4 linked regions of the Caenorhabditis elegans genome follow. The protein of the gene in region 1 interacts with the protein of each later gene in a pairwise test. Each region holds a gene or a part of one and is shown in the gene's direction. Other genes may lie near its edges. The genes, in order: athp-1, gldi-8, hmp-1 and ztf-31.

Region 1 (7,002 bases):
TTTTTCAGCTAAAATCTGATTTTTTCGCTAGCTTCGAATTTTTTATAAGAATTTTTTTATTCTAGCTTTTTTTTCGATTCGAAAACTAGGTTTTTAATTAAAATTCACAACAAAATCCGCCGAATTTTTCCGAATTTTTTGCCTGAAAAATCTGAAATTTAGATCAATTTTCTAACCTGCAGTGTTCTTTCCAAAAACTCTGGCGTTTCCCCAGTAGAATTCTGGAAAACCCGAATATATCCAGATCGATCACAAGTTCTAGCCAATCCATATACAGGATCCACTGAAACAAATTGAATAGATACCATCCAATCATTTAATCGTCCTTTTGGCCAATGGGTTACTGTAGGTCGAGCGATTCCATTTATATACTCGAAACTTGATGAACGACGTTCGTGGTGGGGAAGGATTCGTTCGTCGAGCTGGAAAATACTGAATTAATTTTTTTTCAAAGTGATCTACTAAACCGCGCTCCTTTAATGGCCCGAAACTACCAAAAATTCTGCTAAAATTTGAAATTTTGGAATTTGTTTTCGAAACTTTTTTACCATTGTATTGGGCTTTTTTTGGGTCGCAGTGAAGAAGTAAAATTTTGAATTTTCAAAGAAAAAAACCAAAAATCGAGTAATTTTATGGCAAAGATGTATATTTTGCGATAGATTTTTCGGGGAAAAATGGTGTTTTAAAACATATTTTTGACGCGAAGTTCAAGGAAAATTGACTTTTTCGGCAAAATTGGTTGTAAAAACTCTGAAATTAGCGCGAAAATTAACCAATTATGTTTTTTTCCAAAACTTTTGGACTATTTTTCAAGGAATCTTATAAATTTCCAAAACTCACAGTCATATAGCTCATAGTTGCACATCCACTAGTCTCTGTACCCCATGAGGTCTCATCAATTGGACATGGTTTCCGTTCCACAGAGAGAACATTCACGTGGAGCCACATTTCAGAGATGACCGGGCTCACGGAGCACACCAATAATAGTAGAATTCCATAGAAGATGGGCGACGACATTTTAGTGTAGAGTGTGTGTCTGAAAGAAGGATTTTTTGTTGAAAATCAGGAAAAAAAACGGAAAAAAATTAAAAATTATTTTAAAAAAGTTGCAAATAAATCAAAAACTGCCATTTTTTCAATTTTTCGGAGAGAAAATCGAGAAAATGCAACTTTTTCTGCAGAAAAATATTCAAAAATTCAAAATTTTTCCAATTTTTCGGTGTTTTAGAGAAAATTTCAATTTTTACTTCGGAAAAAAATTTTTTCTGCAACTCGAGGAAATCGTTTTTTTAATACGACCAGAAAGGAATTTTAGGAAAATTGGAAAATTCTGAAGCTTTCAGAAAATTGAAAATTGCCAATTTTTTGAAGAGAAAAGCTAAAAAATTAAGATTTTCCCCAAAAAAATATAGGTTTTTTCGAATTTTTAAAAAAATTTCAATTCAGAACCAAACATTTTCGGTGATTTTTCAATAATTATTTTTCGAAATTTGGAAAAATCCAAAAAAAAGTGTGAATTTCAGTGAGAAAAAAAAAGCTAATTTCTGCAGAAAACAGTGAAAATTTGAGAATTCTAGGAAATATCGAAATAAAAAAAAGAATGTCGATTTTATCGGATAAAATAATACATCGACATACTTTGAGAGACTGGAATAAGAATAACACAATGACTGACTAATTGGATGCATGGTCAGGTAGAAGGAGGAAGGGGGTGTCACCTAATTATAGGCGGAGCTGGAATTACAGAGCGTCTCGAGAGATGGTTATCTTGTCGAAGGACGGGATTAGCACCTTTTACAACGTGTAGATGTCTATTGAAAGAACAAAGGATTTGATTTGTGATGGGCTGAAGATTAAGATGTTTATTGCCTTGTTTTGGAGCTTTATCTGGGCAAAAGATAAGATTTTTTTATACAAAATTCGAATTTTTGACGAAAAACGTAATAAATAATTGGATTATAGAGGATTATAGACCCAAAATGTGCTCGAAATCTGAAATTTTGTCCATTTGTCTGAGTTGCAGTAGTTGATGGAAGGTATACCTATTATAATTTGGTAGATGCACAAAAGTTGGCAGGTGTGTGGTGCACACATATCGACCGTAAATGTACCAAAAAAACACAAAAAGTATGCAAAAACAGCTACTTCACTGACAAGTAAACAAAATTTAAGATTTTAGGTTATTTTTTGCGATTTTGATTCTATTTTCAATTGAGGAGCAGTAAATAGCGGTTCTGGGTACTAAAAATGTGCTTATTTTTGTTTATTTTCCGCTTGAATTCATTTTTTCAACCCAGAGGTACCACACAACATCATCTCACTACATTTTTTGTGATATATCAAATATAATATGATTTTAAAAAAATTGAAAATACTTTTAATGGAAAATCTGACAGAAACCAAGATAAAAAACTACAAAAAACTGGGAAGAACTGGGAAAAAATTTTTTAAAAAAGTTTTCTAAAATTAAAACTACAGTACACTTTGTTCAAGGCGCATGTGCCGTTTATAACATCGTGGCGAGACCCTCGCCGAAACTCTGTCCATGCTGCTTATGATTACTGTAGTTTATTTATTGTTTAATTTTCTTAAATCTTTTATTTGTTCAATTTCCTCGTTTTCCTTCGCTTTTGTTCCAATTTTCTGTTGAAAAAAGTATATTCATAACAAAAATTATTTCTTTCTTTCCAAACAAGCCAAAAACAAGGCCATAAACCGGAAATAGCCGACAAAAGAAGTGGAGATGAGTTTTAGGGTTCGAATAGGACTGCCGATGGTTTACAATGCCGATTGTGACTGTGGAGATGGCTGTAAAGGTGCGAATAGTGATTCTTTTCAAGTTAGCCGCTGGAAATTTCTCTGAAAATCTGAAATTTTACCTGAAATCTGAAATTAAATTCAAAGAAATGCGTGAAATTATAAATTTTTATGAATTTTCTTCAATTTCCCCTAAGAAATCAAGATTTTATCCGTAATTTCCGAAATTATAGGAAAAAACCTAATTTTTTTCGGCTTGACGCAACTGCGCTCCATTGCGAATTACGAAGAAATAGTATGTGAATCGAGGAGGGCACAGACAGCTAGACATCATGCTTCTCATGAAAATTCATTCGAATTTCTGCGATTTCTATGACGATTTTTCATTTTTTCTTTGATATTTTAATTTAAAATGCATTTAAAAAATCATTTCTCATTGATTTTCTTAGTTTTCAGAAAATATCAATGCAGAAAAAAGAGAAAGAAGGCCGAAGAAAGCTGAAATACGACTCAAACGACGGTCTTCTGCCGGTAAAATTGGCAAATTTTCACTTTTTCGCCTCAAATTCCAAATTTTTGTAGGAAATTCGCCGAGTTTGCGGTTTTCCACACCACATTTCCGAAGAATTGTCGGCGAGAGGGTCTGGAAAGAAGAAAAAGCAAGTGGAGGAAGAATGGAAATGGCCTGAAGCTCAAATATGCGGAATTTGCTCTGTAAATACATTGATTATTTGGAAAAATATTGGAAAAAACTAATTTTTCCCTGAAAAAGGCAGAAAAATTGCAAAAAATCATCAAATCTTTGAAAATTTCGATTCAGAACTGGAGTTTAAAGTAAAAAAACCAGATAATGCTGAAATTATTTGATTTTTTAAAAAAGTTTTTAGTCCAAAAGAGCTGCAAAATTCGAATTTTTGATGATTTTAGCATTTTCAGAATAAAAATTCCCTTTTAAAAATTTATTATAGGCCTAGGTTCAGGCTTGGGCTTAGGCTTGGGCTTGAGCTAAAGCTTAGGCCTAGGCTTATGCCTTTAGGCTTAAGCTTAGGCTAAGGCTTATGCGTAGGCTTGGGCTTAGGCTTGAGCTAAAGCATAGGCCTAGGCTTAGGCTTAGGCCTAGGTTCAGGCTTGGGCTTAGGCGTAGGCTTAGGCTCATTATATTATTTTTGCAAAATTGGAAAAAAAAATCCCAAATTTTAGAAAAATCTCTCCACTGAATTCATAAATTTTCAATAAAAAAATGCCCAGATTTCCAAATAATTTTCCATGTTTTTTTGCAGTCCGGCGGTAACATTCTATGCTGTGAACAGTGTCCAGCATCCTTTCATCTTGCTTGTATTGGATACGAATCATCCGATCTTCCAGACGACAATTTTTACTGTAATCGATGTAGAAATCTTCCGGAAAACGTTCGGCTCTTTCCACCGGAAAAGTGCTCGCCGTCTGTAAATCCAGTGCTCCGAGTTGAAAATGAAAATCACCGAAATTGGGAAGCTATTGAATATCATTGTAATCGACTTAGAGATGAGGAACAGGCCGAGAAAATGAAAAAAGATGTTGCTTATGGGCCAAAAAGTGAATTTGCAGAAATTCAAGACTGTTTTCGGGATAAAAATCTACTGAAAGCACTTGGAATGGCTAATCCCATGGATGTAAGGGAGTTTTTTCAAAAAAATGAATTAATGCTTCAATTGAAAAATTAATGAAAATCGAAAATTCTGGATTTTTTAAAATTTAATTTTTTTTTTTAATTTTCGATAAAAATAGTTTTAAAAAATGCGAAATTTTATTAGCAGAAAATATTTAAAACACTTTTTCTCCCGAAAAACGTTGAAATTTTCGGCGTTCGATCCGATTTTCGGGAAAAAAGTGAAAAAAAAATTAGAAAAATCGGGATTTTTAACACTGTAGGATAGGATAGAAACAGAAAAAAACACAATTTATTTGCAGAAAAATGTACAAATATTTTTGAGTATTTTCGACCTTTTTTCCTGAAAATTATCGTTCTTGAGACCATTTTTCCGATAAAAATATTAAAAATAACGCTTTTTTAATTCTTGTTTCGAGTTTTTGTGAAAATTCTTTATTTCTGTGTCCTTCAAAAATTTCCAATTTTACAATAATTTTCTCGAGAAACCTAGATATTATTCCAAACATTTATAAATAATTTTTCCAACATTTTTCAGTATACAATACCACCGGAATTCCAAGCAGATCGTGATTGTTTCTCTGGTGATGCAATGGAAGACAAGAGGCCAACTATAATGGGAGAAGTGTGTGCTGAGTGCAATTTGTACGTTTTCGTAGCAAAAATGGACCTAAAGTGCCAAAAAAAAGAGGAGTTTCCTACCAGAAAGTATTGAAATTGAGCGATTTTCTCTCGAAAAATATCCGAAATTTTTCTTCAAAAAAAATCATTTTCGATTCTTAAAATGATCTCAAAATCTGAACTTTTAGATTTTTTTCTGAAAAACACGATAGAAAAATCAAAAAGAAAAATCAAAAATCAAAAAATTTCGTTTTTCGATTTTCCGATTTTCCAAAAATTAGCTTCACATTTTGGACATTATTCTTATTTTTAGAAGAAATTTGGATTTTTTTCTTACAAATATAAGCAAAATTAAATAAAAAATCGAATTTTATGGTTAATTTTCTGAACATTTTTTTCAATTTTTCGATGTTTCGATTTTCACTGAAAAACATCGAAAAATCGAAAAATGGCACCCTTGATCCCTTCTTGAAACTCCAATTATTATTTTTTTTGCAGAAAAGACGACTGGACACGAATGCTAAAATGTGACTTTTGTGATCTAATTTGGCATCAAAAATGTGTTTTTTTTCTGGAAAAAAAGTTTTAGCTAATTCAAAAAGTCAAGATTTTAAAATCTTAATTTTTTTTTGAAAATCAAAAAATCACCTGAAAAAGACAGAAATTACCTATTGAAGAAAAATAACATATAGTTTTCGAATATTATGTGATTTTCAATTGTTAAGAAAAATTCAATATTTTTTCTGAAAAATTCTGAAAAAAGTAAATTTTAATTTAAAAAAAAAATTTTCTGTAAATTTTCTGAAATAAATTTTGTAGTTGAGGAAAAATTTCAAAAATGTTCCGAAAAATTTTCTTAAAAATTTCAAAAAACTTTCGGAAAAACTTCAAATCAACTAGTTGATAGAATGAGAAAACTTAGAAATTTGTAAATTCCCTTAAAAATGCAGAAAATAAGCAAAGGTAGGCAGGCATCAGGCCCTGAAACCGCGCCTGCCTACCATATAATTTAAAACTCCAATTATTTTTTGCAGAAAAGACGACTGGACACGAATGCTAAAATGTGACTTTTGTGACCTGATATGGCATCAAAAATGTGTAACACCTCCACTTATTCATGTTCGTGCATATTTCTATTGGATGTGTCCAAGACATCCAGAAACTGTCATTGATAGTGTTTTAATTGGTGATGAGATTTCACGAGAAGATCGTCGACGGCTTTATGATAAATATGCTGATGTTGAGCCGAGCTACGAGATTTTTGAGGAATTTTGTATTAAAACTGAACAATTTCGAATGAAATCGGAGGTTTTTGGTGAGGTTTTGCTTACTGAAAATCTTTTTTAAAAAACTTGAAATTTCTAGAAATATTAAAAAAATTTTCTAATGTTTTGGATTTCTTCAAAAATCGTTTTTTTTTTAATTTTTAAAAAAATAGAAAAATGCTAAAAACTGGGAAACTTTTAGATTTTTCCCAGGAAAAATGCCAAAAATCAGAAATTTTCAAATTTGTTTCTGAAAAATGCAAAAAACTTTGAGGTTTTCAATTTTTTCCAAAAAAAAATCTCCGAAATTCCGAAATATTTAGATTTTTACATAAAAAACAGAAAAATCTTTAAAATTTTCAATTTTTTCAAAAAAATGCTAAAAAACTCGGAAAATTTTAATTTAAAAAAATATGAAAAATTCCGAAATATTTAGATTTTTCTAAATAGTTACAGAAAAAATCAATTTTTTCTAATGTTTTGGATTTCTTCAAAAACAGAAATTTCAAAATTTGTTCCTGAAAAATGCAAAAAACTCTGAGATTTTCAATTTTTTTCAGAACATTTTTTATATTTTCACATTAAAAAAGCAGAAAAATCTTTAAAAGTTTCAATTTTTTAAAGAAAAATGCCAGAAAATCAGAAATTTCCAAATTTGTTTCTGAAAAATGCTAAAAACTCTGAGATTTTTGGATTTCTGCGTGAAAAAAC
Region 2 (7,349 bases), 1.7 Mb from region 1:
ATTTTGCAAAAATATATAAAAAATCATTTTAAAAAATTTAGAAACATTTTTTAATTTTTTTAACAGTTATATTCGCTATATTGGGACGGTATTCTGTCATTAAACTTGGTGTTGTCGAATTTTTTTTATTGCTTTATAAGACTCAAAATTGTCTGAAAACACCGAATTTTATAATGAAACTTCTTGGAAACTTCTCAAAAAAAAGTTATGACGGCTCAAAAAATGACCTAAAATTTGTTAAAATTTGAAATTTGACTTGTCGCAACGGCTGGAAACAATTTTTTTTTTTGAAATCACCGTCAAATTTTGAGTATAAAATTTAATTATTTTGCGTTTTCAACTCGATTTTTGGTATTTTCAAGTCGATGGACGGCAAGATTTGGTTAAAAAATTAAAAGCCGTCCATTTTCTCGCCGTCCATTGACTTTAAACTACCTAAATCGAGTTGAAAACGCAAGATAATTGACATTTATACCCAAAATTTGACTGTGGTTTTAAAAAAGTTAGTTTCCAGCCGCTGCGACAAGTCAAATTTCCAATTTTAACTATTTTAGGCCATTTTTTGAGCCATCATAACTTTTTTTTGAGAAGTTTTTAAGAAGTTTCATCATGAAATTCGGTGTTTTCAGACAATTTTGAGTCTAATAAAGTAATTTTAAAAAATTCGACAGACACCACCTTTATAGCAATTTTGAATTTTTTTTTAAACTTGTCTTGAAAAATCTTGAAAAAAGTCGAATAAATTCCCATTTTCCTATTTTCTTTTTTGCAGATGTGCGGAACGGTGTCGGACTCAGATGATTGGAGAGAGCCGAGTGGATCACCATCAGAATCGAATTCATCAACCGAATGGGGTGGCTATACGCCACAAGAACAGCATGCAGTTGTTGTTGCCAACGCGGTAGCTGTCGCTTTCAAGGAAAAATTGATGAATGGCGTGGATGATGATGATGATCAACAACCATCGCCGGCTAGAGGAGCACGAGATCATTCCATCAAAGAGTTCGTTAGTTTTTCTTTGCTTTTTTTTTTTTTGATTTTTGAGAGCAAATTTGAAAAGTTTTACACGGTTTTTGAAAAACTGTTGAAATTAAAATTTGTTGAGAATTTGATTTCGAGCAAGTTTTATTTTTAAAAAATTGAATTTTTCAGAAAATTCTGAGTTTTCTTTTTAAAAAATTGAAATTTTCAGAAAATTCTGAGTAGCAAGAATCTTTAAGATCCTTAATTTCTATGCAAGAATACGTAGGAGTTTTACTTTGCTCAGGAAATTTTATTTTTTGTCAGAGGAGTATATCCGAAAAAGAACAAAAAAAATGCACATTTCTCAAAACGCGTATTTTTTTTTCAGTTCGATGTCAACGGTAACACTGCTGGAACGGAAAAAGTTCATGATGCCGTCGACAATCGGTCTATAATTTGAACTCTCTGCTGCTGCTTCTGCTACTGCTGCTACTGCTGCTCATCGCCAATTTTCAATCCTCCTGAGATTTTTTGATGGTCATTCATTGTTTTGTGCATATCTCTCTCTCTCTCTCTCTCTCCCATGATTCTCAAATATTTCAATGTATTTACACCCCCACTCTGTCCGCTGCCTAATCCCCGACCGAATAATCAGATTCGCTGGAAAAATCTGCGATTCTTTAATATTGCAACCACCCACCCAATAATATGTGTCTCATCATCTCGGTACTCTCACTTGAGCCGTGTTTTCTGTAGTATTTTATTCTCTAAAAAAAAATCATTTTTAATATAATATACGTACACATTTATATCTGTAATATATATTTTTAAAAATGATTCCCCCCTCCCCTCCATTCGTTGTTTTTTTTCTGTGGGTTTCAAGCTTTTGAGCTGTGAAAAATCTCATCCCATCATCATTTTCTATTGTTTTTTTTCACAGTTGAAATATCCTATTTTATCTTTTTCCTTTTTTTTTCATTTTTTTTTTTTCATCGTGCGGGATTCATTTTTCGTCCCGCGAAACGCCCGCCGCCGCCCAATCCCACTCTCTCTCTCAGTCTCTTCTTAATGATCTTCGAAACTATTTTTATTTCCCTCATTAACAATTACGAGGTCGTCTTTTTTTTTCCCCACCCCCCACTGTTTGGTGTAATTTTTGTGTTCGGGGAGGTTTTTTGTGTGTGGATTTTTGGATTTTTTGGATTTTTTCAACAAAAAATTCCCCCGAAATCAAAATTTTTTCCCATTTTCCCCTCAATATTAGTACTGTTGTATAAATAAACTTGCTCTCTCTCTCTCTCTCGAAATCTCCTACTATTATTTTTTTAAAAGATTTTTCCAACAAAAATTCAAAAAACCACACAAACGACCTCTCTGCACGCGGTAATCCTCTCTCTTTTTGTCCCCCATTTTCTCTGTTTCTCTTTTTTTCTATCCCCTATACCTGTGATTGGAATATCCCATTTTTCCAGCAACAAACCAGCAAAAACAAAAAAAAAAAACTTGAAGAATTTCAAAAAAAAAATGACAAAAAAATCATAAAAATCAAAAGAACCTACATTTTTGTTGCATTTTATAGACACACACACGCACACACACAAGCAAACAGACATAAAAATTCAAATTTTTCGAAAAATTAAAAAAAAAAAAAAATTTCCCTCCCAAGGCCACCTGGGCGCCAAAAAGATAGTGGGTGGCCATGAAAAGTGCAATACTTTTTTGAAATAAAAAATAGTGTGAATATCGGAGAGACGCAGAGAAGAAAGGTCGAAAAAGTGAAAAAAGAAGAATTCTTTGTTCCCTTTCGTTTTTCCAATCCAATTGAATAGGACTTTGAGATTACTGTAGTCCAAAACTAAGGTCCCCGGGGGTCTCGACACGAAAATTGTTTTTGTTAAATGCGGAAAAAGGTATGCGCCTTTAAGGAGTACTGTAGTTTCAAAAAATTTGGTTTTTTCTCCAAAAACAGTTTTAAAAAAATCGAATTTTTTTCTTTCTCCAGTCTAAAAATGTGTTTTTAAAGGTGCACAATATTTTTCAGATGGGTATCGGCGCGCAAAAAAAGTTAATGGTAATAGTTTCTTCAAAATTATATGCGGTTTTCAGAGAAATTTTGAGTTTTTCTTTTAATTATATCAAATATTTGGACGAAAATTTAAAGGATTAATGCACAGATCCATTTTTTCTTCCTTTTTTTACTAGAAAAACTATGTAAAATTTTTTTTTTAAATCGCAATTTTCTCCAGGTATACGGTAAGCAAGTCCGCAAACACCGAAGCATTGCTGCACGCGTCGCACGACCGCGACGCGTCTCCCCCCTCTTTCGTCACGCGCTCATCGATTTTCGAAGTGAACACACAACCAGTTTCGTCAATTTTCTGCGCTATTTCTTCATTTTTAATGGAGATTTACGATTATCCAATGTCGTACGCTGATTTAACTCCTGTGACAAGCTGCTCATCATCGTCAAATTCTGAAGCGGACGCTAACAACTTTTCAACGGTTATCCTTTATTAAAAAATGTCAAATTTCTTTAAAAATGGCTTTTTTTTCGATCAAATCTTGTGTTTTTTCGGCAAACACTATTCGAAGCCATTGGGTGTGTCAGTGACAATGTTTATCCTCGAACAAAAATGTAATTAAACCAATTAAACCAACCAAAAAAACTAAACTCAAACTTGGGAAAATTAAACCTACTCAGATGCTTTATGCTGAGGTCTTCTCACTACCGCCGACCAATTTTACTTATTTTTTTATTTTCAGAAGAACAAAAATGTCAATGAATTCCAAAAACTCATTGAAGAATTGGAATTTGAGCCGGAAGACCGAAGAGTTCCCGAGGTAGCTGAAGAAGTTGAATCCGAAGACGAGGAAGAGGAAGATGTCCAAATCAAGTATCCTTACGAACGGAAAGACGCTTATCAAGACCTCCAAGAAAGGATCGAGCGCAGGCTAAACGATTCTGGAGATGAGAAGCTTGAGCAGAAGGCGAAGGTAAGATTATTTTTTTTTAATTTGCAACTGAAACTTTTTATTCCAGGAACTTCAATCGCTTATCCGAATGAGCCAATCACAATGGAAAGTCGAGCAAAAGCAACAGCTGGAAGATTCTCTGTTGAAGCCACACACTGCTGGATCGATTTTCACTTGCGTTATGTGCTCGAAAGCATTCCCGAACGCTGAAGCTCTCCAGATTCACACTGATCAAGTGCATGATTTGTCTAGATTAAAGCATCGTTGTAAGCTGTGCGGAAAAGCTTATAAGCGCAAGAAGAACCTTGATGCTCATATGGCCCTCCATCTCAAGGAAATCCAATGCGACAACTGCTCACTGGTCTTTCAATCTGAAAAATCGTTGCAAAGTCACATAATCCGGCATCATCAAGAGGATGCGGATGAACTTGAAGTATGGAAGGCGCCGTGCTCGATTTGCAAGGAGCTATTCCCATCAACATCTGTCAAAACTCACGAATGGTACTGCAAGAATAGGGAGAAAATTATTGAAAAACAGCGAGTATCGAAGATTCTGAAAGTACAAAGTTTGCCGTCAAGCCCAGCTCTTTCCACCGTCAGTTATGCATCATTCTCAAGCTGTCAGCCTGGGCCAATCACAAGCCCAGTCTCCTATAGGGATAAATCGTGTCAAGTGTGTGGAGAGAGCTTCGCGAGCCGACAATCAATGCTCCGGCATGTTGGTAGAAAACATCCAGATGCCAAGAACGATCCAAATGTCACGGCTGTGAGATACATTAGCGCTGAATCGGTAAGGATAAGAATTTAAAGGTGGACTACGCTCAGTGGGGAAATTGCTTTAAAACACGACTATGGTACCACAATGACCGAATATCATGATAAAAAATTCTAGATTTTATATTATTTTTTGAAAATTGAAAAAATCTCGAATTGCATCAAATTCCCATTTAAACCTCCCGCCAAGTGATTTTATCGATGGAGCGCGCTTGCTCGTTTTTATTTTAATTTATTGTTATTTTTTCTTATTTTTCGCCGATTTTTCATGTTTTCAGTGTAATTTTATGAGAAATTTGAAGAAAAAGTCAAAATAATGCAAATTCTCGATTAAAAATCAACTTTGCAAGCGTAAAAACGAAGAAGTACCACTTTTAAACGATTTGGAGCCAGTAGTATTTGATTTCACAGATTTACGCTTGTAAAGTTGATTTTTAATCGAGAATTTGCATTATTTTGGCTTTTTCTTCAAATTTCTCATAAAAATACACTGAAAACATGAAAAATCGGCGAAAAATAAGAAAAAATAACAATAAATTAAAATAAAAACGAGCAAGCGCGCTCCATCGATAAAATCACTTGGCGGGAAGTTTAAATGGGAAATTGATGCAATTCGAGATTTTTTTTCAATTTTCAAAAAATCATATAAAATTTTTAATTTTTTTTTTGAATTTTTTTTATCATGATATTCGGTCATTGTGACCCCATAGGCATGTTTTAAAGCAATTTCCCCACTGTCGCTACTCCACCTTTAATGAATGAAAATTTAAAATTAATGAATTAAAATTTAAAATTTTCAGCCCAAGCATCCATATGCTTGCATTGAATGCGGAAAACGATTCACAACGGTCACCGCTTTGTCAACACACAAGGCTCGTGTTCATTCACAATCCAATCGCTTTGAATGCACAATTTGCCACAAATCCTATCCGGTTCCATCAGAATTGAGGAAGCACATCAAAAGAGTTCATGAGAAGGATGCGCCCAAATCTCGATCAGCATTGGAAGAATTACCGGAAATGGACGATATTTTCTAAATTTCTCTAGATTCAAATGTTCAAGATTTTGCTGTAATTTTCCCACCTCCCCCCCCCCCTTTATTTTCAAAATACCGGTCCGAACGGGTTCCAACCGAGTTTACTAGATATTCATGTAGAGATTTCAACACAATAAATGAATTAAAATGCGTGAAGCCTATTCCTCTGCAAATTAATTCCAGCCAGCGGATTTCAAGCTTGATGACATTGAAAAATATTGGGTAGTTGTCTCACCGAGAACAGGCCTAGTTTTACGAACAGGCTTAATATTAGGATTAGGCTTTGGCTTAGAATTAGGCTTAGGCTTGATTTCAGGCTTTGACTAAAGCTTAGGTTTGGGCTTAGGCTTGTGCTTTGGCTTAGGCTTTGGTTTTGGCTTTTTTTTTTTTTTGGCTTAGCTAACGCTCCCCCACTGACGCTATGTAGAGATTTTTCATATATTTTATTAAAATCAGGGCTTCGCCCCGATTTTAATAAAATATATGAAACCCTCTTAAAAAGTTACAAGAAGGTTTTTCCTTGCGCTTGGAGCGCAAAAGAAAAGAAAAAGAGCTATTTAGACTTAGGGTGCCCAACTGGAATAAAATATAGGAAATCCTTATGACACACCGGCGGTATGGCGCGGCTTAAGCCTAAATAGCCACTTTTATCAAAATACATTTGAGCGAGGCGGCTGTAAACTATTCGTTCTTTAGCAAAAATTAAAAAAAAAACTTTATTTAAATTTAAAAATAAATATCATATGTTATCACACCTTAGAATATCACGCCTTAATTTAGTAATCATTTTTACTTCATAAATGTGAGAGAAAGAAAAATGGATTAATCATCGGAATTAAATATCATCAGAGTGATTATATTCATCAAAGGTCCCACTCTACTGGAGGGTTAATTTGGTTGATATAAAATTCCTATCTCATGTAAAGAAAGGTTCGAATTCTGTACCTATGACACACTTAAGCCTAAAGGCCCGAAAAACATACTAGGATGCCCAACTGGAATAAAATATTGGAAATCCTTATGACACACCGGCGGTATGGCGCGGCTTAAGCCTAAATAGCCACTTTTATCAAAATACATTTGAGCTCGTCTTGCGTTTTACTTTGACTTCTCAGGCAACTCAAAAGTAATCTGTGGATATTTTTCAGTAATCTAAATGAAGATTATTTCTAAGAAACTTGAAAATTTTGTAATATTTGAAGGGATGCGAGCAATCTCTACATATTTGCGATCAACCTTTGGAGATTTTTTTTCTTAGTGAAGTTATTGAATGCCAATATTCAAATTCCCATCTCATGGGAAGAAAAGTTCAAATTCTGTACCTGCGTATATTTTTTTATAACTCCGTTTTTCCCACAAGAAAGGCCTTCTTCCCATAAGATAGGAATTCAAATATCGACAGCATTCATAGGTACAGAATTCGAACCTTTCTTTACATGAAATAGGAATTTTATATCAACCAAATTAATCCTCCAATAAAGTGAGACATTTGATGAATATAATCACTCTGATGATATTTAATTCCGATGATTAATCCATTTTTCTTTCTCTCACATTTATGAAGTAAAAATGATTACTAAATTAAGGCGTGATATTCTAAGGT
Region 3 (9,924 bases), on another chromosome or scaffold:
ACAACTAATTTTTTTTAATTGGTCAAAACTTTTTAAATGTAAACTGGAAAGGTTCCTAAAAATTACTACCTGGGGTCAAGCTGAATTGAGGAACATCTTGGCCACACTTCGTAAAAATTCTATAAGTATCTTAGTAACTCCAGTGAAAAAGTTCAATAAGCCGGCAACAGTTACTAGATTTCCGTAAATTGTCTATGAAAGTTTAGACAGGAGAAACCTCTTAAAATTGGGACAAAATAGACTCTAAATCAAATTATTATTGAACATATTTTTACAATAGCACAGATCGTGTTGCAGTGATTAATAATGTTGTTGATATCATCTGAGAAAGTTCAGGTTCTCAGAAAAATGCAATCTCAAAAATGTACTTTCCCTGATTTTTCCTAGTTTTTTTTCTTTTTTTTCACTTCAGTTCACCCCCGCGATTCAAAGTTTACAAACAGCTGCTGCCGTGTACAAAACGTGATTCAGACTTCTCTATGACTCAGATTCCACTTTTTTGAAACGAGAAATTGTTTCGGTCGTATTCAAATTTAAATTTCAATACCCAATATAAGAATATGATGATGATGCATCAATTCACTGTCCTTCCATATCCCTCAGAATTATCCCTCGAAATCTCCGAATAAGACGTAGAAGACGTCAAAACAAAAGGGAAACTTTTTGTCCCTTTTCCATCATCTTCTCAATACTCCTTCCATAAAAGTCCTTTATTTCCGGGGCGCACACTCACACGCTGCTGCTGCAGTTGCCCCAACATAGGCCATACGTACCCAATTTTATAATCCATGGGAGTCGGGCAAACAAACTCAATTCGGTCATCTTCTCCATCTGTCGAGTCTCTGCTCATCCCGAAGGGAACCGTCCTGCTTCCGTCCGTCCCAATGTCTGTGTCTCTTCATCTCCATTGACCAGTGTCCTTGCCTCTTCGTCCTCTATTCCCGCCGCTCGTCCGTTCTTATACCCTTCTCTCCGCTCACTCGTCACCCGCTGACTGACCGACCGGCCAACCCGACTGAATCATCATTTCTTTATGTGTCTTCTTTCTCTCTATATTTAACAGTGTCTTCGTACACCGGTTGATGGTGCGGAATCATCGTTTTCACCATATTCACTTCTCACTCGCAAATACCTCAAAAGTTTGCTTTTTGTGACTTTTTGGCTTCGCAACTTTTTTATTTGAAAATTTTTGAGTGTGAAACATATATTCAACATGGCAAATAAAAACTAAGTTTCTTCATTTTCGGTCGAAATTTTAATTTTCGAATTTGTTTTTTTCTTAAATTTTATTTAAAAAATAGTTATTTCCTAAATTGCCGGCATGTGAAACATAATCCCCTATTAATTGTTTTGTTTTTTCGTTGAGTAAACACCCGAAAGGCCTCACAGGCCCCACCACACTTGTTTCTCGCTATTTTGCGAAAGGATTTTTTATTTTTTTCATTGAAAATTTAATTTTTAATTTTTGAAAAGTTAGAGTAAAGATTTTTATTTTATATGAGTCATTTTCTCAAAGAATAAGTAAATTCTGTGTTTGCCAATAAAGTTTAACGGTGACAGTACCCTCTTGGATCTCTTTGAGACCAACCACCCCTTCTTTATCGTGCGCCTTCAAATCTAACAGTAGTTCTAATCGATACTTTAATGTAAGGTTATGTATTTCTTTTTATATTTTTTGATTTCATCTCAATATAAATATTATTTCTCTTCGTTTTATTTGCATTCTAATCTGAATTTTCAATTTTATTAATTTTCAGAATGCCTGCGAATGGCAATTCTCATGCGTATTTCAACATCGACGAAGTGCGCTCGAAAAATGTTTTGAAACAAATTACTCAATTAATCAATGAAGTGACCAACATCACTGAAACGTTTCCGTTAAAACCTGGACAAACTACTGAAGGACTTGTCGCCACTCTTGATGCTGCCGTTGCTAATTTTCTTCAAACGGGAAGCTTTGCAATTTCGAAATGCCCAATTGCAAACAGTGATCCACGCGCAATTGATTTATTGCACGAAGCTCTTGGAGCAGTTCAAGATACTGGGCAAGTGATGATTCAAACTGGAAGAGATTTTGTCAGAGATTCAACTTCAACAAACAAACGAGCTATTGCAACGAATTCTGGTAGAAATTTGTTGACTGTAAGTTTTTAGGTACTCTTTTAACTGAAAAATGTTGTATTCAGGCTGTCGCTAAATTCCTAATTCTTGCCGACTCGATTGATGTAAAAGTGATAGTTGATAAAGTAGATGAAGTTCGAGAAACTGCACACCAAATGATTGAAGCGGATACAAAAATCAAAGTAGATGATTTGTACAATCTTCTCATTTCTCAAATCGAAGAACTTGATATCACTGTTCGACGACGAGCCATTGATTTGGTTAAACCAAATCAGAGAGATGATCTTCTAGCAGCAAGATCAGCACTTCGACAGACTGCACCACTTCTGTATACTTCAACACGAACATTTGTAAGACATCCAGAACATGAAGAAGCTCGAAGAAATCGTGATTACACTGCAGATGAAATGCATTCTGCTTTAAATGCTCTTGAATCTGTTTTAAACGGACAACAACCGAAAGTAACATTTTCTGAATATGGAAGAATAGGCGATCTTATCAATGAAATCGATACTTTTCAAGTGAGTTTAAAAATTTCAAATAATAAGACAAATAATTTATTTTAAGAATCGAATCGAAATTGATCCAGCCCATTATCGTCGAGGAACTGATCGTCCAGATCTTGAAGGACATTGTGAACGAATTGTTAGTGGTTCTGCTTCAATTGCCGATGCTGAAAGCACTCGTGAAAATCGAAAACAAAAAATTGTTGCTGAATGCAATAATTTGCGGCAAGCTCTTCAAGAACTTTTGACCGAATATGAAAAATCTGTAAGTTTTTTCTATTGATCTCTTGACTTGTTGCCTCGTTTAAAATAAAAAGAAATAAAAAACATTCAAAGAAGCGCATCTTTTTCACAAAAGGGCGATGGAGACGGTGAGAACAAACAAACAAACAATCGTGCGTTCTTTCAAGTGTGACGCCTTGTCCCTCAGGGCGAGAACAACTGTTTTTGTTTGTTAACCGAACTCGAACTAAAGCCGTTTTTTAGAAAAAAAAATGACCACCGCGAGTTCAGACATGGAAAATGTTTTTTTTAGAATTTCGGGGAAATTCTTTAAAAAATTTGTAGTAGTAGAAAATATAGAGACTACAAAGTTTTTACAATAAAATTTAAAGCTTATTACGACCTGTTTAACTATGTTTTAAATCTGTAATTTTTCAGACCGGCCGAAGAGATGATAATGATGATATTCCTCTTGGAATCGCAGAAGTACACAAAAGAACAAAAGATCTCCGGCGACACCTTCGTCGTGCAATTGTAGATCATATAAGTGATGCTTTCCTGGATACCCGTACACCGCTTATTTTACTGATAGAAGCTGCTAAAGAAGGCCATGAAGAGAATACAAGATATCGTTCAAAGATGTTCCAAGAGCATGCAAATGAAATTGTTTCAGTTGCTCGTCTTTCTTGTCAACTTTCATCAGATGTTGAAAGTGTTAGTGTCATTCAGCATACGGCTGCTCAACTTGAAAAACTTGCTCCACAAGTTGCTCAAGCTGCCATCTTACTTTGCCATCAACCTACTTCAAAAACTGCTCAAGAGAACATGGAAACCTATAAAAATGCTTGGTTTGACAAAGTGAGATTGTTAACGACTGCTCTTGACAATATCACTACTTTGGACGACTTTTTGGCTGTCAGTGAAGCACATATTGTTGAAGACTGTGAGCGGGGAATCAAAGGTATCACGGTAAGTATTTTAGTTCTCAAAATTTTAAATTTAATGAAAATTAACAAAAATAGTTTTCGCTAAATTCGTCAACTTTTGAGACGTTCAAACTGAATTTTCCAGGCAAACGCTTCAACACCGGATGAAAATGCGGCCAACTGTGAAACTGTCGACTGTGCTGCCGGATCGATACGTGGACGAGCTCTCCGAGTCTGTGACGTTGTCGATGCTGAAATGGACTTCCTTCAGAACTCTGAATACACTGAAACTGTTAAGCAAGCTGTTCGGATTTTGAAAACTCAACGTGTAGATCAATTCGCTGAGCGTGCGAGCGCTTTAGCCAACCGTCAAGAAGCACACGGACTTACATGGGATCCAAAAACAAAGGAAGAAGAAATGAATGAATTTATCAATGCTTGTACATTAGTTCACGATGCAGTTAAAGACATTCGACATGCACTTTTAATGAACCGAAGTATGAATGATGTTGATTCGGATGTAGAGTATGAAGCTGATGGTGTTGGTGCAGCAAATGCAGATGCTAATCGTACGATATCCGAACAAGAAAATCAACAGAATCTGATGAGACGATTGCCAGAAGAAGAGAAAAAGAAAATTCAAGCACAAATTGATATCTTCAAAGTAACACAAACACGATTCGAAAGAGAAGTTGCCAAGTGGGATGAAACAGGAAATGATATTATATCATTGGCCAATAATATGTGTAAGATTATGATGAGTATGACAGAATTCACAAGAGGTTGTGGGCCATTGAAAACGACAATGGATGTTATCCGAGCAGCACAAGAAATCTCACTTAATGGATCAAAACTAAATGCATTGGCACGGCAGATTGGAGAAGAAAGTGCTGATTCGCAGACGAAAAAGGATTTGCTCGCATATTTGTCACAAATCACTCTATATTGTCAGCAACTGAATATTTGTAGTAAGGTGAGTTTTTTTAATTGGTGCCACGAGCTGTAAAAGCGTACCAAATGTTTTTGGTCAATTGTTTGTTTCGGGGGTTTTTTAAATTTGTCAAATTAGTTTTTCAAGAAAATTGTAAAGATTCACAATTAAAAACGCGTCTATAAAAACTAAAACTGAAAAGAATCTCGTATTTTTCAGAATTATCTGAAAAGTTTTTGAAAAAATTGAGAATTAAAAAAAAAAACTTATAGATAGTGTGATATTTCACCAAAAGAGGTTTCAACTGTTTTTAACGATTTCAGTAGAGATATAATTTTACTTCGCGTTTTTTTTGCGAACCAAGCTCTAGACTGAAGCCATGAAAAATGAAAAAAAAATTGTGATTGGCCTCACTTATACTAGAAAATTGTTCATATACTTACTATAAATAAGTTTTGTTTAAATTGCTTTCAAAAAACCATGTGAAATATAACTTTAAACTTTTAATAGAAAGTAATATTTCAGGTGAAAGCTGATGTGACTCAAGTTGGAAATGAGCTTGTCGTATCTGCACTTGACTCTGCAATGTCTCTTATTCAAACGGCTCGAAATCTTTTAACTGCTGTTGTACAGACTGTTAAAGCTGCATACATTGCCAGTACCAAGGTTGGTTCCCTTTCTTTAAACAAAACATTAATTATTATTCCCACTTGATGTCTGATACTATTGCTTTCCAGCATTTATCACACATTTCTTTTTTCGTACAGACGATAACGGCTGCTTACGTAATTCATTTCAAATCAGATGGTATTTCGCCCACTCTTTTGAGTAGACACGTGGTTTAAAGTGCCAATAGACCAGTTGCCTTTTGTACACTGAATTTTGAGATTTTAGAAAGTGTACCCAAAAGTTTTAGAAAATTAAATAAATAAAATTAAAAAAAAAAAAAAACATTCTCAATAGTGTGCACAACGCGAACGTGCTCGAGTCGAATCAGCCGTTGCGCTTAGCGATGCTCACAAAGCTATTAATTATGAAAGTCCGATGGATGAATCTGGTGAGAAAAAATGAGAAAGCATTAAATATCGTGTTGTGTGGTTTTATCGATGTTGTTTTTGAGAAAAAGAGATATTGAGCATGTCGAATTTAATTTTTTGCTTTTTTCTCAAAATTTACGTTGGCTGCTGCGTAATTTAATGGTAAATATTTTTTATAGTTAAAAAAAGCTTATGTCTTGAGTTCAAATCAGTGGTTAAGACTATTAATGTTTGACGATTTTTTTTTAATGGAGTAGGGATTTTGCTTTAAAAAAATCCAGAATAGTTTGATTCTCAGAAATACCCAAAAAAGAGAAAGAATGAAATGTCGAATTTTCGAAAATCAGATTTTTCAATTTTTGGCGATTCCCTATTTGAATTCTCTCAGTTTGGTGCGAATTCAAACATGGAATTTAGCCAAAAATTAAAAGCAAAATCTCAGATTTTTATAGATTTCCTGAATCCTAGAAAATACAAATTAATTTTCATTATATTCCAAAAAAAAGAAAACAATTCCAGTTAAATATGTTAATTCAAATTGGTAAGGACATCCCTTTCTTATTTTCCCTTCACACTTAAAAATCGTTTTCCCAACAAAAAAACATTTAACTTTCTAAAAATGCATTGTATCGGTCTTGATGTGTGGACATCGATCCCCCAATATGTCGGTCTTGTGATCTTATACTCCCCCGTAAAAAACTCATACATTTTAAACTAGATTGTATTGCAACTTTAACTAAGAAAAGAAGATTAAGTTGAAAAAAAAACTTGAAAGAAATTGATACGAACGTAAAATATGTGTTATTGTTGATGAAAAGTGTCTCGATGTTGTTTGCTGTTGGTTTCATTTTCTTAAATTGCTCGAATGCTTGGAATTCTTTGCTGATAACTTCCTGAAACTCATCCTTATTCTTGCAGTTCCGTCGTCCTAATGCCAACAGTGTACGTGTCGAGTGGCGAATGGCTCCACCAAAGAAACAACCACTAATTCGACCACAAAAGAATAATGCTATAATCAGGTAACGTTTTCATCTATTTTTTTTGAATCAAGGATCCCTCTATAAGTGTTTCCTTTGCCTGCAAAAGGACATATGACACACTTCATTGAGAAGCCATGTGAAAAAAAGTAGTCGGTCCCTGAATAATTCATAAAAAATAGCACTGCCACCAGAAAATGGCACGTAGCTGCCATTGTCAGTAGTCCCAAGTCCCTTTTTTTGTGGTAAAAGTGGTGAAAGCCGAAAGAGCTGCGACACCAAAATGTATATTCTTGACTTGTTGAGCAAAAGTGTATCCCTTGAGGATCATAAATGCAAATTGAGTTTTCGGAAAGCAAAAAAAAAGCGACAATGTTCATAAAAAGTGATGAATAGTTGGATGATTTCGGACATTGAAATGAAAGTTTTAAAGCATCAAAAAACACAATTTTTCTTTTCTTTCAGAAAATTTTCCCCCCCTGAAAAAATTTTTGATAAGATTTCAGACATTTTTTAAACCTATTAAACTAAATTTTACGATTTTGAGATGCACCCCGTAAATCGACACAAGCGCTACAGTAGTCATTACAATAATTACTGTAGTTTTCGCTACGAGATATTTTGCTCGTCAAAAATATGTTGTGCAATACGCATACTCAGAAGTTGGTGTTCCCGTGATAGGTGATCACTAATTCTTGATCATTATCTATTCCATTACAGAAAATTAATTAGAATCCCCCTTTCAAAAGATGTATTCAACGAACGCCGACTAATGTTATAAAGAGTTTGCAGACGGGCATCCGAACGGCGACCTTTGCAACCAGCTAAAGTGCTCGCCGAGTTTACGCGTAACGAGATTGAGACGGGTCGTGATAGTGACGACGAGGAACTTGATCGCCGGCATCAACAAAGAATAAACGGTCGTTTATAGATAATTTATTTCAGTTTTATTCATGTATCTTCATACTTTTCCCTTCCAAATCTTTCCACACATCCTTTATATGCCCGAGTCTTTATTATTTTCTCATTCTTTCAATTCTCTTCAGCTAGAAATTTGTATCTGTGTATTTTTTGTATTCATTTCTGTTTAATGCTCTAAATTCTATCAGCTCATCACCGCCACCATTATCACCGCATTTTTCATTTTTCTCCCCCATGAATATCATAATCCATACTGTTGAAAATCAGGTAACTTTACATCTTTACAATTTATTTTCGCACTATCAACCTCACCCTTTCAACGATTTTTTCTGTATGATTCTGATTTCTAAACTCCCTGATCTATGTGCACAAGTTTTTCAAATTAGATGAACTCAATTCTTTCCTATTTTTATTATGTATATAGACATCAAAAAGGTCTCGTACATCTGGCACCGTCAAAATTGTTGTGCCTGAGCATTACGAGCAGCTGGTACTAAACGGAAGTGTGTGCAACAACTCTCCTTCCACCCTCGCCTCCTTCTTCATTTGTACTACGTTTTGCTTTTCCCCTTATTCTCTTCTCCTGGACTACTAGCAACAGAAAGGGAGGAGGACATAATTGTTTTTTTCTTCAAGAGAGACTTCCCAAATGGATATCCCCTACTATTTTCACACATTCCCATATTGCCACCCATGTTTTCGCTTCAAGACCCAATTTCAATTCCCTAATTTCCTGCGCATTTCCGTGTTTGCACACGCGGCGAGTTACTTTTTAATTTCCTGAAAGCTTACGCCTCCGGGTTTTCCGTTTTTTTTTTTGCTGCTGTTGCTGCAGAAAAATCCTGGAAATCGCGTGCCTAAAGTGTATGGAACGCTGCTTACAGAATTTCCAACGAGATTCTAGAATATTCAACTTATTTTTCTTTCGAGAGACAAAGTGATGGTGGTGACCCAAATACTAATTAGTACTATTTTGTACGCTCATCTTGCTCCAGCGTCCTTATTAGTCTCATTATTTTGGGGCGAAAGTTGGCTGGTTTTTTGTCTCTCGTCATTGTTTTGGATGACCATAGAACATCTTATTTAGAAACTTGTTAGTAGAACTACGTTACAAAGTACAGTAACTCTACAAATCTCCAAAATGTGGCAGCCTCATTTTTGAGTGTTCCGAAGTCACGACCACTTGGTACAGTCAATCATGTAGAAGATATATAGTGACGTCATTCTACCAAAATAAGTGTTGCCCGGATTTCCAAAGGTCTAGCTAGAATTAGGAAACTCTGACTGTTTTATGCAATTGCGCTCTTCTGAAGAACGCTGGTCTCGCAACATTTCAAAAATCAGTTATGTTTGATCATTGTCTCCTTATTTTGAATACCCTTAAAAATACCTGTATATGAAAAATGGGTTTTTTTAAAGATATTTTAATTTGCCACATTATAGAGAACTTGCTCACTTGATCTATTTAGTAAACTGAGATTTCTCATCTGGATATCCTCATATTTTAAATTGAACACCCAGGTTTGTACTCCATTAAATCTCATAGCAAACTTATTGTTCAATTTTGAATATTTTGAATTTTATCTATCTAGTAATTATTTTATGACTTATTCCAGTGTTTTTAAAAGTTGTCTTGTCTACTTATTGTTCCTGTTTATCACGAAAACTATAACAAATATTGGTAAAACTAAAATTCGATTAGCGCATTAAGCCAAATATTAAATACCAGCCGTGGACCGCACCTCCGGCGCGGCCCCCGACTTCTGGAGCTGAAAACCATTTTTTCTGAAACTACCGTAATCATACAGTACTCCTACCGTACCACCATTGTACCACTACAGTACCTCGACTATATCCCTACACTAACCCCAACTCACTATCTCTCCAGAAGTTAAAACTTCGCAGACTACAAAGAGTACATAGACTACAAACTATGGACAAACGGAATAAGCGCTATATATATAGTAAATGATATTTAATAAAACCTGCCTGACCAAAAACACTGAACCGGAAGAGAAGTTCCTCCTCTTCGAATTCTATTCATATCGTTCGTTATCAACGCAGTAATCAGTTTCCGTTTTCTTAACTAGTTAGATAAGAATATTTTTATTTCGGTACAATTTTAGTTGAACCAGACAGTTGTTGTTTCCTTGAGCACTTACCACGTGCTCATTTCGTAATAAATAAAAAATGACCCCCTGCTTTTGTGGAAGTTTCTGGAGTTTTTCCACTTTTTTGGAGAATTTGACACAAGAAGTAAATACTAGACTCATGAACATTCGT
Region 4 (6,189 bases), 3.6 Mb from region 1:
GAAAGATGATAACTATTCGGAATGGTACAGTGAAGTTATCACTAAGGCAGAAATGATCGAATACTATGATGTATCTGGTTGCTATGTTCTTAGACCATGGTCATTTGCAGTTTGGGAATCTATTCAAGAATGGTTTGATTCTGGAATTAAGAAATTAGGAGTGAAGAACTGCTACTTCCCAATGTTCGTATCAAATGCTGCCCTCGAACGCGAAAAGACTCATATTGCTGATTTTGCCCCAGAAGTTGCTTGGGTTACTCGTGCTGGAAACTCTGAAATGGCCGAACCAATCGCTATTCGCCCAACTTCAGAGACAGTTATGTACCCATCTTACAAGAAATGGGTTCAATCTCATCGCGATCTTCCAATCAAGTTGAACCAATGGTGCAATGTTGTTGTAAGTATTGATTTTTTAATTGAAATTAGTTAAAAATTTTTATAAATTTCTGTTGAATTTCTCCTAGCTGTCTTGCTCCACTGCAAAAATATTATCATAATACTTTTTTCCTTTACAGCGATGGGAGTTCAAGCATCCAACACCATTCCTTCGTACTCGTGAATTTCTCTGGCAAGAGGGACATACGGCTTTTGCCAACCCAGCAGACGCTGAAAAAGAGGTTTTCCAAATCCTTGATCTCTACGCAGGAGTCTACACTGATTTGCTCGCTATCCCAGTTGTGAAGGGACGAAAGAGTGAGAAGGAAAAGTTTGCTGGAGGAGATTTTACGACGACAGTCGAAGCATACGTGGCATGCAATGGTAGAGGAATCCAAGGAGCAACTTCTCACCATCTCGGACAAAATTTCTCCAAGATGTTTGATATTTCGTACGAGGATCCAGCGAAGGAAGGAGAACGAGCATTCGCTTGGCAAAATTCGTGGGGTCTTTCCACTCGTACCATTGGTGCAATGGTAATGATTCACGGAGATGACAAGGGATTAGTACTTCCACCAAGAGTTGCCGCTGTTCAAGTTATTGTTGTTCCAGTTGGATTCAAGACTGAGAACAAGCAATCGCTTTTCGATGCTGTTGATAAGGTTACCAAGGATTTGGTCGCGGATGGAGTAAAGGCTGAGCACGATTTGAGGTTTGAAATTAATAATGAATGCAGTTATGTACGTTTTTAATTACAGAGAAAACTACAATGCTGGCTGGAAGTTCAATCATTGGGAATTGAAAGGAGTCCCAATCCGTTTTGAGGTCGGACCAAATGATTTGGCAAAGAACCAGGTAACCGCTGTAATCCGTCACAACGGAGAGAAGAAACAACTTTCCCTGGAAGGACTGTCTAAAACTGTCAAATCTCTTCTTGATGAAATTCATACTGCTATGTACAATAAGTTGGTTAAAATTTTTAAAAGTTGAAATAAATTCCATACTTCAGGGTACTCGCTCAACGTGACTCTCACCTGAAGAGCACCACGTGCATCGAAGAATTCAAGAAGCTTCTTGACGAGAAGTGCATTATACTGTCCCCATTCTGTGGTCGTCCAGACTGTGAAGAGGAAATCAAGAAGGCATCAACAAGAGAAGACGGAGAAGGCGCACAGATGGGAGCCAAGACGTTATGTATTCCATTGGATCAACCAAAACAAGAACTTCCATCAAAATGTCTTTTCCCATCATGCACATACAATGCCAAGGCTTTCGCTCTGTTTGGAAGAAGTTATTAATTTTCACGTCTACGTCCCTAATAACTAAATATTCAGAAGCATAGTATTTATTCGTTGTCCTCTGTTTTTGCTATTTATTTTTTTTGGTGATTGTTTCATTTGTCTTCATACATCCTACTATTGCTCGTTTTTTTCATTTGTTCTGAATATCATTAAAAATAAAAATTAAAAATAAAATTAACAGAAAAAAAAGAACGTGGTGCCCTACATTGCGTGGTGGTATGTGGCAATGGGGTCAGGGGTGGGGAATGATGGAAAGAACATTTACACTTTTAGTTTTTTATATTAATGTCGTCATCCAGTGAATCCGATTCCGAAGGAGAACGGTAACATCATTTAACTTTAGATTTCCAGATATTTTCAGCGGTCTTAAATTTCAGAAAACTTCCTTTGTCGTATCGTAGAAAAAGACGACGTGATTCGAGTTCAACAACCAACTCCGAAGTATCCGATAATGATAGAAAAAAACGGCAAAACGAGAAGCGGAGAAGCCGTGAGTCATCCAAGATGAAGCATCAAAAAACGGCGAAACGGGACAAACCAATGTGGAAAGAGGAAGGAGAAATTTCATGGTGAGCACAGTTTTCATTGCATTAGAAGATTTCTTTCATTTTCAGTGACAGTGAGAGTGACGTCTGTAATTCCTCGAGTAGCAACAACCGGAGCCGCTGTCGTGATCGGCGAAGAAGAACTGATTACGGAAGAAGACGTCACAGAAATTCAGATTCTAGATCTCATGAGAGATGGAGTACTAGAAGAAGACAGACAACTCCAGAGGGAAATTTCAGATGTGATGAGTGTGGATGTAACCACTACACTTTGAAGGTAATTGACTATGGACACAAAAGTGCAAGCTTCTGACGTAATAGATGAAATAAGCATTATTGCATTGGTGACTCGGTTTGCAACAATATCACACAGTCGCAAAGTTTGCGATTTTCGCGCGAAGAATACGGTGCTCGGTCTCTATGCGACTGTTTTTGTTAAATTTTTTAAAAAGCGTGCGCCTTTGAAGAGTACTGTAATTTCAAAATTTTATTCTGCGGAATTTTCAGGAGTTTTTAAGAATAATTTTTCTCCAGATCTTTTGAGAGTTCTGGGGTTTATGGTTATATTTATTTTTTAAATATACTTCTATTGAAAAACTATCGTTTTAAATTCCGCAGAAACTAGATTTGGAAATTACAGTACTCTTTAAAGACGCGCGCCTTTTTGTATTGAGCAAAAATAAATGTCGTCTCGAGACCAGGAACCGTATTTTTGTGCAATAGTCGCAAAATTTCGCGTCTGTGTAATAGAAAGGTTTGAGTTTAATGGAATAACTCACTTTTGCTCAAAATTTCATATATTAAATTAGTAAACACCTCTGCAGCTTGACACCGACTGGCACACACAAAATATTAAACTTTCAGGGTCTAATCCATCACGAAATGAACGACCACAACCTCAATGCAAAATGTCATTTATGCCAGAAATCTTTCGAGAATAAGAAGACATTCCGTGAACACTGTGAATTGGATCACACACCGGAAGTGGTATGACAGTATTCATTAACAGATTCAATTTGAAATATTAATTTTAGGTTAGATGTGTATTCTGCAAAAGCTCATTCGATCAGCCACTGGAAATGAACGATGAACAATGGGCACACTTTTTCGCTCATATTTATGGGGTTAGTAATTCACCATTCGAATCTAGAAGTCGATTCTCCTGACTGACATTTTTAAAACCATTTTTTCCAGGAAATCCTCTACTCCCGCCTTGCCGACTACGAGGATCGTGCTTTGAACACTGCATGAATTATATATTTGATTCGATGGTTAGCTTAATAAAGAATTTTTCTGTTGTACTTCAACCTTTTTCTGAAATAGGAAATAATCACAAGTTGTCTGAAAAATGTGATCAGCTATCCAGATCAAACAGTGAAAATGTTGTCTGCAATGATTCATAGCTGAACATCTGAACTCTTAAATTTTCAGCGAATCATGATTTGCATTGTGATATATTATTCTTATGGTTGCAAAAGAAAAAAGATTACGAAAATATCTTGTGACAGAGTAAGAAACCATTGAAATTTAATTAATCACCGTGGAGACAGGTGTGCACTCTGCTCTTATTATATTATCAAAACGAGAAACGCGTGAGCAAGAAGTGGGCGTGACTTGGTAGAAAGGTACTTAATCGAGATGTTGAGCCAACTTTCGAGATTATTCTAAAAGTTTCCATATCAATAAACTTTTTTGGAAATTTCATCTTGCAAGATGTCGAAGGCAACGTCCGCGTGTTCTCAAAAGGTGAGATTTCTGAAATAATACTTAGGATTAAACTTGAAATTTTATCCACATAACTTTATCTAGGAAAAAACTTTTTCGATTTATGTTAGAACCTAATAAATTTCAGAAGACCTCTCTCCTGGATCCGAGTCCAAAAAAGTCATCTGTAATTGAAACAACAACCAAAAAAACTTCTGGGATTGAGTCCAAACTATTGCCAAATGAGCTTCCATCAACTGGAACAACTGGAACTAGCGGTGTTAAGAATGGGGCTTCAAGTCCAAAAACTAGCCCAGCAAAAACCACTACTACCACAACTACCGTAGTCACTCAAAAAGTTTCAAATCAACCAACTGCACCCATTTCAACACTTCCACCTCGTAAGCCAACAGCCCAAAAAAGTCGCGAATTGTCCCCTCCAAAAGCGAAGAAATCTCCGAGTCCAAGTCGTACTGGTTCAGGTGACTCTGGTTCAAGAAAGGAAAGCAGTGCATCCAGAAAAGATTCTTCGAAAACCGAAAAATTGGTCAAAGATTTGGAAAATGTCAAATTGGAGAAAGGAGGTAACAAACTCAGGCAACAATGGGCAAACTGAATACACTTAATTATATTTCAGATTCCCGTGAATCGGCTACTCTTCCAACTCCGAAGCAGTATCCAGCTTCGGACGATGAGGAAGACACGGTTAGTGGTTAAACCAAAACCTAGCTAGAGCTCATATTACTCCTCTTGAGTTCTGAAACTCGTGGCAACCTCTCTTTCAAAATTGTGATGGGAACACTCTGAACACACAAAATTATTCCATTCTTGTTTGTACATAGGAAAATGTGGCAACTTTATATTTCGGGTGTGTGAGGTCAAAATGACTTTTAGTGCATTTTTATTGCTGAAAAACATCCATGACAGCATATAAGTATACTTCCTGAATAGTGGATAGCCACACTTTTTAGCAATCAGTATTTACGAGTTTATTATTCACTCAGTCTTACTCAGAAGTCTCAGAAGTCTGAGAAGTCAGAAGTCTAACCACACTTAAATTTCCTCATCAAGTAAATTCTCTACGGTTGTGACAAGGTCTACTTAGAAAAATAACATGCACCTTCAAATTGGCGTTATTTCAATCACAAAAAATTAGTTTTACAGAAGGAAAGAAAATCACTTCGTTTTGGAACAACCACAGAATGGCAATCGGATAACTTGGAAGAGTTCTACAGAGAGCATGAGAAGTTTCCAAATGCAGAAGCCGTTAAGAAATTTGGGCAAATGTATTCAATGACTGAGCTCATTGCAGAGGTATATACATATAACACTTTAAGAGACAATCATCAACAATTCATACAAAGTGATCTTCAGACTTGGCTCGAAACTCGTCGCCAACAAACGTATCAGAAATACGTGGAAAAAGGTCTTCAAACAGATCCATCTGTCATTCAATTTTATTGTGAATCTCTGAAAATTGCCGAAGGTCTTCGTTTGGAAAATCCAAGTATTCAAACCAAATCATTCTTTTCCTTGAATGGAGTCAATGCTCTTGAACAGAAAAAAGAAGAAGAAGAGAAAATGCAACCAGTCATTTCAGTTTCATCTAACAAAGTTTTCATTAGTCCAAAAAAAGAGCAAAAGTGTCAGTTGACCATCAAAAATGACGGAGAAGTCAATGTAGTGTATCAGATAAGTATCATGAATGCGGCAAATTATGTCATGTCACCAATCTGTGCAATATTGCTTCCAAAAGAGGAATTGACACTTAATATCACAAGAAAGGTAGGTAACGAAAAATGTGTGTTTGGAATTATGCCGTCTGGACAAATCCCAGGTTTTCCAGGGAACATTCTGAATACTTATGATCACTGTTCGAAATTTCTAAAATTATCCGATAACTTTTTTTTCAGCCGGGAAAGCTTCTTGAAGAAGAGTTCTTCCGTATTGACTACGGTGTTGCTCCTGAAGGAATCATTGATGCACGTGATTCTTCTGATCGAGCAGAATTTACCAATCGGGAAATAATCGAAGTTGTCGAGATCGATGAAAAAGAAATGAAAATTGTCCGTTAATTAATTCATACTTGTATCAATCAAAACTTAGTTTGAAAGCACAAAAATTCCTTGATCAATTCAAAAATTACTTCTGTTTTTTTCGAAAGTTGTATTAACTTTGTATGAACTTGACATGAACCCTGCAAGTAATGTACTAATATGTACACTAAAATTCAATTATTCTCATGTCACCTTTCTTGTAAAATC

What was found.
Region 2: the proteins of athp-1 (region 1) and gldi-8 interact in a two-hybrid assay, tested with the Caenorhabditis elegans proteins (one large-scale study listed by BioGRID).
Region 3: the proteins of athp-1 (region 1) and hmp-1 interact in a two-hybrid assay, tested with the Caenorhabditis elegans proteins (one large-scale study listed by BioGRID).
Region 4: the proteins of athp-1 (region 1) and ztf-31 interact in a two-hybrid assay, tested with the Caenorhabditis elegans proteins (one large-scale study listed by BioGRID).

What each region holds. Positions count from the first base shown.
Region 1 is NC_003281.10:10,879,148-10,886,149, forward strand, and holds the start of athp-1 (PHD-type domain-containing protein), read left to right. Parts: upstream 1-2,618; 5' UTR 2,619-2,816; intron 2,817-3,213; 5' UTR 3,214-3,222; coding exon 3,223-3,288; intron 3,289-3,339; coding exon 3,340-3,471; intron 3,472-4,037; coding exon 4,038-4,409; intron 4,410-4,943; coding exon 4,944-5,050; intron 5,051-6,060; coding exon 6,061-6,341; intron 6,342-7,002. Other genes in the region: C44B9.3 (C2 domain-containing protein), read right to left, coding at 177-422, 841-948.
Region 2 is NC_003281.10:12,594,543-12,601,891, reverse strand, and holds gldi-8 (C2H2-type domain-containing protein), read left to right. Parts: upstream 1-3,207; 5' UTR 3,208-3,363; coding exon 3,364-3,465; exon of another isoform or gene 3,466-3,726; coding exon 3,727-3,957; intron 3,958-4,003; coding exon 4,004-4,726; intron 4,727-5,510; coding exon 5,511-5,747; 3' UTR 5,748-5,898; downstream 5,899-7,349. Other genes in the region: epc-1 (Enhancer of polycomb-like protein), read left to right, coding at 773-1,002, 1,352-1,418.
Region 3 is NC_003283.11:11,844,120-11,854,043, forward strand, and holds hmp-1 (Vinculin), read left to right. Parts: upstream 1-1,757; 5' UTR 1,758-1,758; coding exon 1,759-2,142; intron 2,143-2,186; coding exon 2,187-2,642; intron 2,643-2,688; coding exon 2,689-2,892; intron 2,893-2,964; exon of another isoform or gene 2,965-3,187; intron 3,188-3,287; coding exon 3,288-3,818; intron 3,819-3,920; coding exon 3,921-4,748; intron 4,749-5,231; coding exon 5,232-5,372; coding exon of another isoform or gene 5,373-5,420; exon of another isoform or gene 5,421-5,669; coding exon of another isoform or gene 5,670-5,777; exon of another isoform or gene 5,778-6,661; coding exon 6,662-6,762; intron 6,763-7,503; coding exon 7,504-7,651; 3' UTR 7,652-8,046; downstream 8,047-9,924. UniProt on the Caenorhabditis elegans protein: Required for cell migration during body enclosure and cell shape changes during body elongation. Required for proper localization of other junctional components, such as pac-1.
Region 4 is NC_003281.10:7,239,429-7,245,617, forward strand, and holds ztf-31 (C2H2-type domain-containing protein), read left to right. Parts: upstream 1-1,936; 5' UTR 1,937-1,961; coding exon 1,962-1,999; intron 2,000-2,053; coding exon 2,054-2,245; intron 2,246-2,290; coding exon 2,291-2,498; intron 2,499-3,085; coding exon 3,086-3,208; intron 3,209-3,255; coding exon 3,256-3,345; intron 3,346-3,415; coding exon 3,416-3,472; 3' UTR 3,473-3,522; downstream 3,523-6,189. Other genes in the region: pars-1 (proline--tRNA ligase), read left to right, coding at 1-397, 516-1,087, 1,134-1,340, 1,385-1,673; osm-10 (Major sperm protein), read left to right, coding at 3,935-3,967, 4,074-4,509, 4,563-4,630, 5,090-5,239, 5,300-5,710, 5,839-6,000.